Oryzias latipes: one gene and its partner. The protein of the gene in region 1 interacts with the protein of each later gene in a pairwise test. Links are inferred from orthologs where the notes say so. Each region holds a gene or a part of one and is shown in the gene's direction. Other genes may lie near its edges. The genes, in order: xpo7 and uso1.

Region 1 (3,821 bases):
TACTTGTTTGTTACTTTGTCTGACGCGGCGTGTTACTGTGTGTGACGCGGCGTGTTACTGTGTGTGACGCGGCGTGTTACTGTGTGTGACGCTCTGAGTTACTGTGTGACGCGGCGTGTTAAGGCCCGTACACACCGGGACGAATATTCGGCAGGCGTTATTCGCCAGCGTTTTTCGCCACGTTTTTTGTGTTCACACCCAGGCGATTTTCGCTGACGATGAGCAGAGCGAACATGCAATTTCATTCCCTGACATTAGATGGCGCTTAATGTAAAACAGAAATACTCCTGTACACAAGGTGGCGCTGCGCAACTTTACGCTTCTTAAAGTCGCTTTTCACTCAGAAGAAGAGAGCAAGTATTTACACGCTTGTCAGAATCAAACAAAGAAAACATGAATATTTCAAGCATCAGTAGCTCCAACTAGTGCTTGGTTCGGGGATATTTTAGAATGTCCGTCATTATTGCTTCGCGGCAGTGTAGACGCTACTTGGCGTCTATCTTCTTTGCTGGTATGTGTGCTCAGCAAGGCAGTTTTGTGTTTGAGCGCCCCCAAGTTGTGTTTTACTGTAACTTCAGAAGCTCCAGACACGTGAGCAAAAGCGCCATTCTCATTGGTCGAGTAGATTTCGACGCGACGCGTCGAAAAAAAAACAACGAACCCGAGGCGTTTTTTTTTTTGACGCTTTAACGCGTGGCGTTTTTTCGCGTCGGTGTGCACACTCTCGTTGGTGCCCTTTGTTTAGTCACGAGGCGTTAAACGTCGGCGAAAATCGCCGGCGAAATTCGTCCCGGTGTGAACAGGCTATTACTGTGATTGACGTGGCGTGTTACTGTTTGTTAGTTTGTGTGACGCTGCGTGTGATGCGGCGTGTTACTGTTTGTGACGCGGCGTGTTACTGTGTGTGACGTGGCGTGTTACTGTGTGTTCCCTTAACTCCCGTTTGCACGTACAGCAGCGTGAGGAAGCTGGTGAAGCTCAGCGCTGTGCAGTTCATGCTCAACAACCACACGGTGAGTGTTTCCTCCACGCAGACGGGAGCCTGGCAAGGTCAAAAATCTGACAACCGTCCTGTTTATTCATATATATATATATTACATATACAGTGATCCCTCGCTATAACACGGTTTACTTTTCACGGTTTCGCTACTTCACGGATTTGCATTGTGCATTGTCTTCTGCATTCTGATTGGCTAAAAAGTCACTCCGCTTCTTCTCTACCTGTGCATCAATAACGTTGCAGTTTAATATGTACACGTACGTAAATCAGCTTGCCAAATTTACAACACGTACGTGCAAATTCTCTTGCAATTTCGAGTTTCTCCAAAACCTATAGAAAAATAGCGACAACAACTGCCTATAATTATGTTCTTCTCCTGGACAAACACAGCTGCGCCGCGGGCTTCAATAGAAGAAAACACTGCAGAGCGGAGTCAGGATGCAGCGGCTCAGACTGAAGAGCAGTGAAATACACCTGAGTCACTATTTGTCCAACTGTACTTTGTATTTTTTTCATAATCATTTTAAATTTTCTCCCGTTTAATCCAATTACTCTCGGGTCGCGGTGGGCGGGGCTAATCTCCGCGATTTGAAGCTTTCTGTTCACATTGATGATTCAAATTATTATTTGACAGAACAGTACAGAAGTTATTTGTTGAAAAAACCTTTCTAAATTACTTTTATTTGTGAAACAAATGCTTGAGCCTGTGAAATGGTTTGTTCTTTCTTTTCAATGTATAATAGACTGTTTAATTGTATAATAATTGTAAAAACAAATAGAGGTTTCTACTTCACGGATTTTGCCCATCACGGGTTCTTTTTGGAACGTAACCCCCCCAGACAAAAGTAAAAATGGATTCCAAGTGTCATCAATCAAATATTAAAATATAAAAACATTTTAGAACCGTTTTGTTCTTAACTCTAAGCTCTAAGTTTTCTGGAGTCAAACAGAAGGAAACCAGGAGTTAAATTCAGAATTTTATGGAAAGAAGTTCACCTCTGGGTCCAATCCATTGACTGAGGGACCCCCGCCCCAAACAGGAAGTACCCAAAATCCCACAGACGTCTATAGAGACATAAACAGCTGTTATTCAGTCATTCTATTGGTCAGAAGAACCGTTCTGGGTCTGATACCTTTTTTAACATCTTCTTGATAATCCTCATTTTTTCATGATATTTTTTCTGTAGTTAGTTAATCGTAATGTAAACTGACCAATCAGATGCCTCAATAAAAGTAGGTGGAGCCACCTGGCCCCCACATCAAACGTTCAGAATATTTGACGGATATTGTAACCTGCTTTGAGTGGTAGGGGTGTGGCCTTCCAACAAGCTCACTTCTAATTGTGAGAGTGGTTTCCATAGAAACGGTGACTCTGCCCGATCACTGCTTACTGACAACGTCTGGCTCCAATGTGGCAGCGTGCGTGTTGTGAAAAAATGGTGATTAAATTGACTTCATTTGATTGGAGCTGGAAGAAACCATTCTTCTATGGGGGGGGTCACACTCAATATAGTTCTTAGATGCTGTCAGTGGTTGAAACCAACCAGGTTCTGCAATGGGGGGGTTCTGAAGGCAGAGAACGAGTTTTGGAGCAGAATGGTTCTAAATTATCCAGTTCAGTAAGGACTGTGAAGCGAGCAGAACCATGCGTAGAACCACAGTCCAACTGGGACCCAGAACAGGAACACTTGAGTTTTAGAAGTCAGAGAAAACCCAGTTTCTGCATTTAACTCAGGGTTTTTAAACCCACATTTCATAAGAGCCACAATAAGAACAGACGTTTCTTAATGGTAGAACTTCAGCCGTGGTTCTATTTGATGGAGGTTTGCAGTCGATTAAAGTATCTTAACATGCAGGTGGAGTAGTCACGTCTTGAAACTCCAGGGGGTCAGGATGGAGCTTCAGCTTCAGAAGTGATGTGGAAAAGAACCAGTGAGGGTCTTTAATGGACCGGAGCCTCTGATGTTTCCGGTCAGCTGGAGTTCTAGCATCCTGAACGTTCAGTCATTCTGCATCAGGCCTCTAGGGCTGCTGTCTGTGTGGTTTCCATGACTGATTACCTGGTTCAGGTTGTCCAGCCAATCACAACATGCCAGAGAAGAGTTTGTTGGAAAAAAAGCAGGAATGCGGCCCCCGAGGCCTGGAGTTGCCTGTTCCTGTGTTGTAGATGTTCCAGGTCTGACAGCAGACGGCTGGAAGCGCTGATTCCGGTTCTGATTCCGTGCTGCTTCTCTGCTGCAGAGCGAACACTTTTCCTTCCTCGGGGTCAACAACCAGTCCAACCTGAGCGACATGAGATGTCGGACCACCTTCTACACGGCTCTGGGGCGCCTCCTCATGGTCGACTTGGGTATGTACACATCTGAACGGCGTTTCTGAAGAAGAGGCTGACGTTTCAGATCTGAAACATGACTTTAAAGAATAGTTACATGTTCAGGGAAGTTTTTCTTTATATTTTCACATAGAAACTGTTGGTTTTCTTTAATGATAATAATGGATTAGATTTTCCAGACGCTCAAAGTTCTTCCAGTGTGTCCATCATTCATTCATACTTGGAGATGGTAACTGCTGATGCAGCCGCAGTTGCCCCGGGGCAGACTGGCAGTACCCGCCTCCCTTTTCTGCCATAAGGAACTCACTGTTTTAGTGAAGCCTTCACCCACCAGTGGACCCCGCTCATCTGCTCAACAAACGTTCATCTGTAAAAATGAAAACTGAAGCAAAACTCCTGTTTTCTGGATTTTAACTTGATGTTGTATTTGTGTGTGTGCACGTTTGTGTGTGTGCGCGTCCACGTGTCTGTGCAGGTGAGGATGAGGAC
Region 2 (4,609 bases), on another chromosome or scaffold:
ATTTTTCTGTGTTTTACTCTTTCAAATTGTTGCTGGTACAAAACTGTTGCAGGTGGAGAATTCTCCCTTTTGTTTTTTCTCAATTTATATTATATTTTTGGTTTTACATTCTGAATGTGTTGGACTTAACATACAATAAACTACTGATAACAGCACAGCTCAGCTGATGAGTCGTGTTTGCTGGGAATTTTCTAAGCGGAGCCTTAAAAAAAAAAGCAAAAATGTTTTGGAGGAAAAGACCCCTACCAGACAATCTTTTTTTTTTAACAAATAATTGCTTCTTATTTTACAAAGTGAATGTAAATTTTGAAGAAAAAAGTTGCTATTTTAAGGGTTTCTCATCTTCAGTGAGAAATTGAGCTCTTCTTTCACAGGCCAACCATTTCTTCATGAAACACTGATGTATTTTGGTAAAAACATGCTTCCCCCCCTGCCATGCCTTTTACATTATCATTATTATGAAAAGAGCGATAGCTTAAACTTTTCTTTCTCTTTTTTGGACTTTGTTCTTCTCTGAGGTATTGTCTTCGGATTGATTTTTACAGTTTGTAAATTGTGATGCACACTTTTGAGAGTCAGCACTCACTGTAAACTGACAGATAATATTTAACTTTCAAATACAATACAATCACTGATGGTTGATATCGTTCTTGTTTATGCAAATCTTACATGCATCTGACGGATTTACTGGTTAAAAGGACCATAATGTCAAGCAGCAGATTACTGCACCTGTCAAAAAAAAAGTGGTCTATTTCTCTGTCCCATTTGCCTTATTAAACTTTAGACTTCATCACTATGTCTATTACTGTGTTCAATCTTGGATTTTCTATTTTGTAGTGTGTTTCTTTTGTGTTTGGGTTATTCACAAATCTGGGTTGTTGGAATAATCACCTGCTGTTTTGAATTGTGCTGTTCATCTGCAATGTTCTGGCTTACTTTTCTATTTTTTGTGCATGTATTCTCCAGCATATCACATGTCCTTATAGCTTTCTTAAAAAAAAAATACCAGGAAGATTTTTAGATTATCTAAACTGGTTGTTTATTTTTTTCAAAACTCAGTTTTAAAGCAATAATCTTTTTATGAAATCATTTTTTTGAGACCAAAAAATAAGTTTATAAAACTCATTTGAAGTCATAGCACTCTATCTGATCATCCTATTACTTGTTTCCAATGCCTAAAAATGTTTTATCTTTTAATATTGTCACCAACTTGTAAAAAAAAAATCACTTTCAACAAGTATTTTAAAGAGTTTTACTTGTCATTATGATGTCTCACAAACATGTTTTCCTCCCTTTCTGCTTTTAGATCACATAGCAAATTGAAATGGAGTTGCATTTTTTTTAATTCAACCAGACAGTAATTATTTGTCTCAAGCATTACATTGGTTTTTTAAATTTATATATAATCAGGTTTTTCGGTCCTTTTAATAGATTTTACATGTTGATTTTGTACAAAAACTAAAAAATGGGCAAATAATACGTATTTTCTTAATATAATAAATTCAATATCATATAATAGTTTATTTGGTCATGAACATAATGGATTATAGTGCTGGATTTATTGAAGTTTGGATTTATTCTCACAGCGACCTCTGCAGTTCACGTGGCAGAAAGATTTAGTGCTCTGGCCCTTTAAGAAAACTGATCACTCGTGCGGGTGAGCCACGTATGGTCTAGTTAGTGCGCATGCGCGTCCATCTCACATCCGGGGTTGGTAGCTGTACATAGTGCCCCATAGTGTAACTCTTCACACTCTCTCTGTCTTTCTTCTATTTTTATACATTTTTTACTTGTGCCACTGAGACAGTGGTCGGAGTCTCTTCTTCAACAAAACAAACCGTCTGGTTGGAAGTCTTCTCTGAGAAGACGCCTGTCAATATGAACTTTCTCAGGGGAGTGATGGGAGGGCAGGCTGCCGGGCCGCAACCCACCGGAGCTGAGACGGTAGGAATCTAGCAATGCTAGCTACATCTGACTTGAATTTTTGCCGCTATGATCCACAAAAAAAACGAAGACATGTATAGAAAAGAAAAATGATAAATTTATGTTATTGGGGCGCATTTTAAAAGATAAGTAACATGGAATCGGTTGATTTAAAAAGCCCTTAAATGTAAGGCTATCACAAGCTAACCTAGCAATAGTCGTCGAACGAAGTATTTTGTCCGTTATTTTTAGTAGTCATAAAACACTTATTCTTGCATTTATAATAAAACACATTTTACTATAATTCACGACAGTTAACAATAAATACAGATCGAACTTTAATGTAAGTTGAAGCATTTTGTTAATTTGGTGTCTCTAGTGGTTATTTAGATTACAAGAAATAAAAACACACTTTCGTGTGCTAGTTTTTTTTAATGAACTCCTTTACATCTGTGACTTCACCCCAGTAGAATGTAGAAAAACGGTTCAATCTTAATTTCCTGATGGGGATTAAATTATGGTTTGCTTAAATTTGTCTTTCTGTTGACTTCCTTTCAATTTTTAATGATATCTTTGAGTGGTGAAGTTATCTGTAAATAAAACATTTTTTTGTATTTAAATGTGATCAAATTAACCTTTGTATTCATTATTAATAATGTGCCATGCTACAGGACTAATCTTTTTGGTTTTTTTTGTTTGTTTTTTTAGCATCAAGCCTTTTATAACAGCCCTTCAACACTAATTTTGGGTGTTTTATAGTTGTGGGGAAAATATAGATATGTAAATAAAAAGTATGACACAAAATTTAGATTATTTTGATTAAGAAATTAAAAATGTGTTCTGGAAAAAAACGTTTGTCTTCTTGTTTGTTAACAGATCCAGAAGTTGTGTGACAGGGTTGCTTCCTCAACACTCCTGGAGGACCGAAGGGACGCTGTCCGGGCCCTCAAATCCCTTTCTAAGGTATAGAATTAACACAAACTCTGCAGATGTACATTTAGGTAGGGAATGTAGGAAATCTTTGTGTTTGTGCTTACATTAAGGCTTCAATGTCTTATCTATGAGAGAGCTGAATTATTGTTTTTTTTGTCTTAAATAAGAACAGATTTTATTTTTAAATTGGCCGCCACCACTTTAAGATGCTTGCTTTAATGCTGACCATCTTATAACACATCTGCATCTTTGTATGACACCATTAAGGATTTGATGCTCCTCAGGTATTCTTCTAGCATGAGCTGGTTCTAAGTTGGGCTCAGAATTGGCAACTTGATTCCTATGGAATGAAAAAAGGATGGATTTTATTTATTTATGTATAAATCATACAGAAAAATGAAGGTGTCATAGAGGAATTTACAGGTAACTTGTTGAATTTTATTTTCCTCACTAGCTTAAAGAAAAATTAATATACGGAAAGTGTTAAAAGGCATATTATAATAAAATCATACTGTACCAAACGTCAAAGGATGTAGGTCTAGTGTGTTAAATGTTCTTAGTTTTTCAGATAAAATCTCTGAATTTAACCTTTGACCTTCAACCTTTTTTTTTTATTTCTTACTGTGAAGCAGTTTATTTGTAAAAATAAATAAATAAATAAGAACTAAACTCAAGAAAAACATTTATAAGCCTTGATCAATAATTTTAGTAAATATTCTTTATTAAATCATACATTTCATTGGACTCTGAAAGCATTTTTTCTTGTAGACTTAAGTTGTTTTTTCTAAAGTTGCAGAAACAAAATCCATTATTGAGGAATCCATTTTTTCTTTTTTTTGTAGAAATACCGCATGGAAGTTGGCACACAGGCCATGGATCACCTGGTTACCATATTGCAGACTGACAGGTATCTCCTTGTTTCTAGATTGAAGCCCTTTTTCTCACATTATAGATCAATAAACGACAATTGACCTGTAAAATAGAAGTCGGGCTGAAAAAAAAAAAGATATTTTCATTTTTTGAAAATATTTTAATTTTTCCCCAAATGCTCCAGATCTGACTCTGAAATCCTTGGCTATTCTTTGGACACACTCTACAACATCATCTGCAATGATGAGGAAGAAGAACAAGGTACACAACCTATAAGGTTTTGGTGTTTTTATTTTGTCCTGGTACGATTAGATTAATTTTTATGTCTATAATAACAATAACTCTATAGCAATCCTTTTGGATTCCCGAAATTCAAGTTCATTGTACTTAATAGAGAGCCACCACTAGCAATATACTAATTCAGTATTATTTAATCGGTTTTGATAAGTTCACAACTTGATTTCATATTGATTTATATTTCAAATTTTGATTCAAAACTAATTGTATTTGGAAACAAATATTGATTTTCTGAAGGGAAATTGATTTGTTTTTATTAAACGCAGCTTTACTGAACAGTGTTGCGTTTGCATGAGCACAAAGCTGGACGTTTGTATCAGTTTGTGAGCCTTCGGTCTGCGTTCCTTCCTTTTTTAATTACTTCCACTAGTATTGAATGTGTTGTATAAAGATTTTCCTGTTTCTCTTCTCTTTCATGTTTTAACCCCACAGATGAATCAGAAGGTAAATCTTTTGGATTATGCATGATGCCAGCCTCTTTAACCACGCCGTTCATCCATGCACATTGGTGCCCCTGCAGTGGCCGACATTAGTTGGGGGCATTTTTACTCAAAAACCTTTGAACTTCTGTGTGACTTGAGACGAG

Evidence for each region.
Region 2: the proteins of xpo7 (region 1) and uso1 interact in binary tests that used the Homo sapiens proteins (3 or more experiments, as listed by UniProt). The two-hybrid records come from large-scale screens. The link is inferred for Oryzias latipes from reciprocal best matches to the Homo sapiens genes XPO7 and USO1.

The regions. Positions count from the first base shown.
Region 1 is NC_019870.2:696,492-700,312, reverse strand, and holds part of xpo7 (exportin-7), read left to right. Parts: intron 1-949; coding exon 950-1,013; intron 1,014-3,241; coding exon 3,242-3,350; intron 3,351-3,807; coding exon 3,808-3,821.
Region 2 is NC_019859.2:16,828,158-16,832,766, forward strand, and holds the start of uso1 (general vesicular transport factor p115), read left to right. Parts: upstream 1-1,708; 5' UTR 1,709-1,878; coding exon 1,879-1,944; intron 1,945-2,799; coding exon 2,800-2,886; intron 2,887-3,698; coding exon 3,699-3,763; intron 3,764-3,910; coding exon 3,911-3,987; intron 3,988-4,455; coding exon 4,456-4,467; intron 4,468-4,609. UniProt on the Homo sapiens protein: General vesicular transport factor required for intercisternal transport in the Golgi stack; it is required for transcytotic fusion and/or subsequent binding of the vesicles to the target membrane.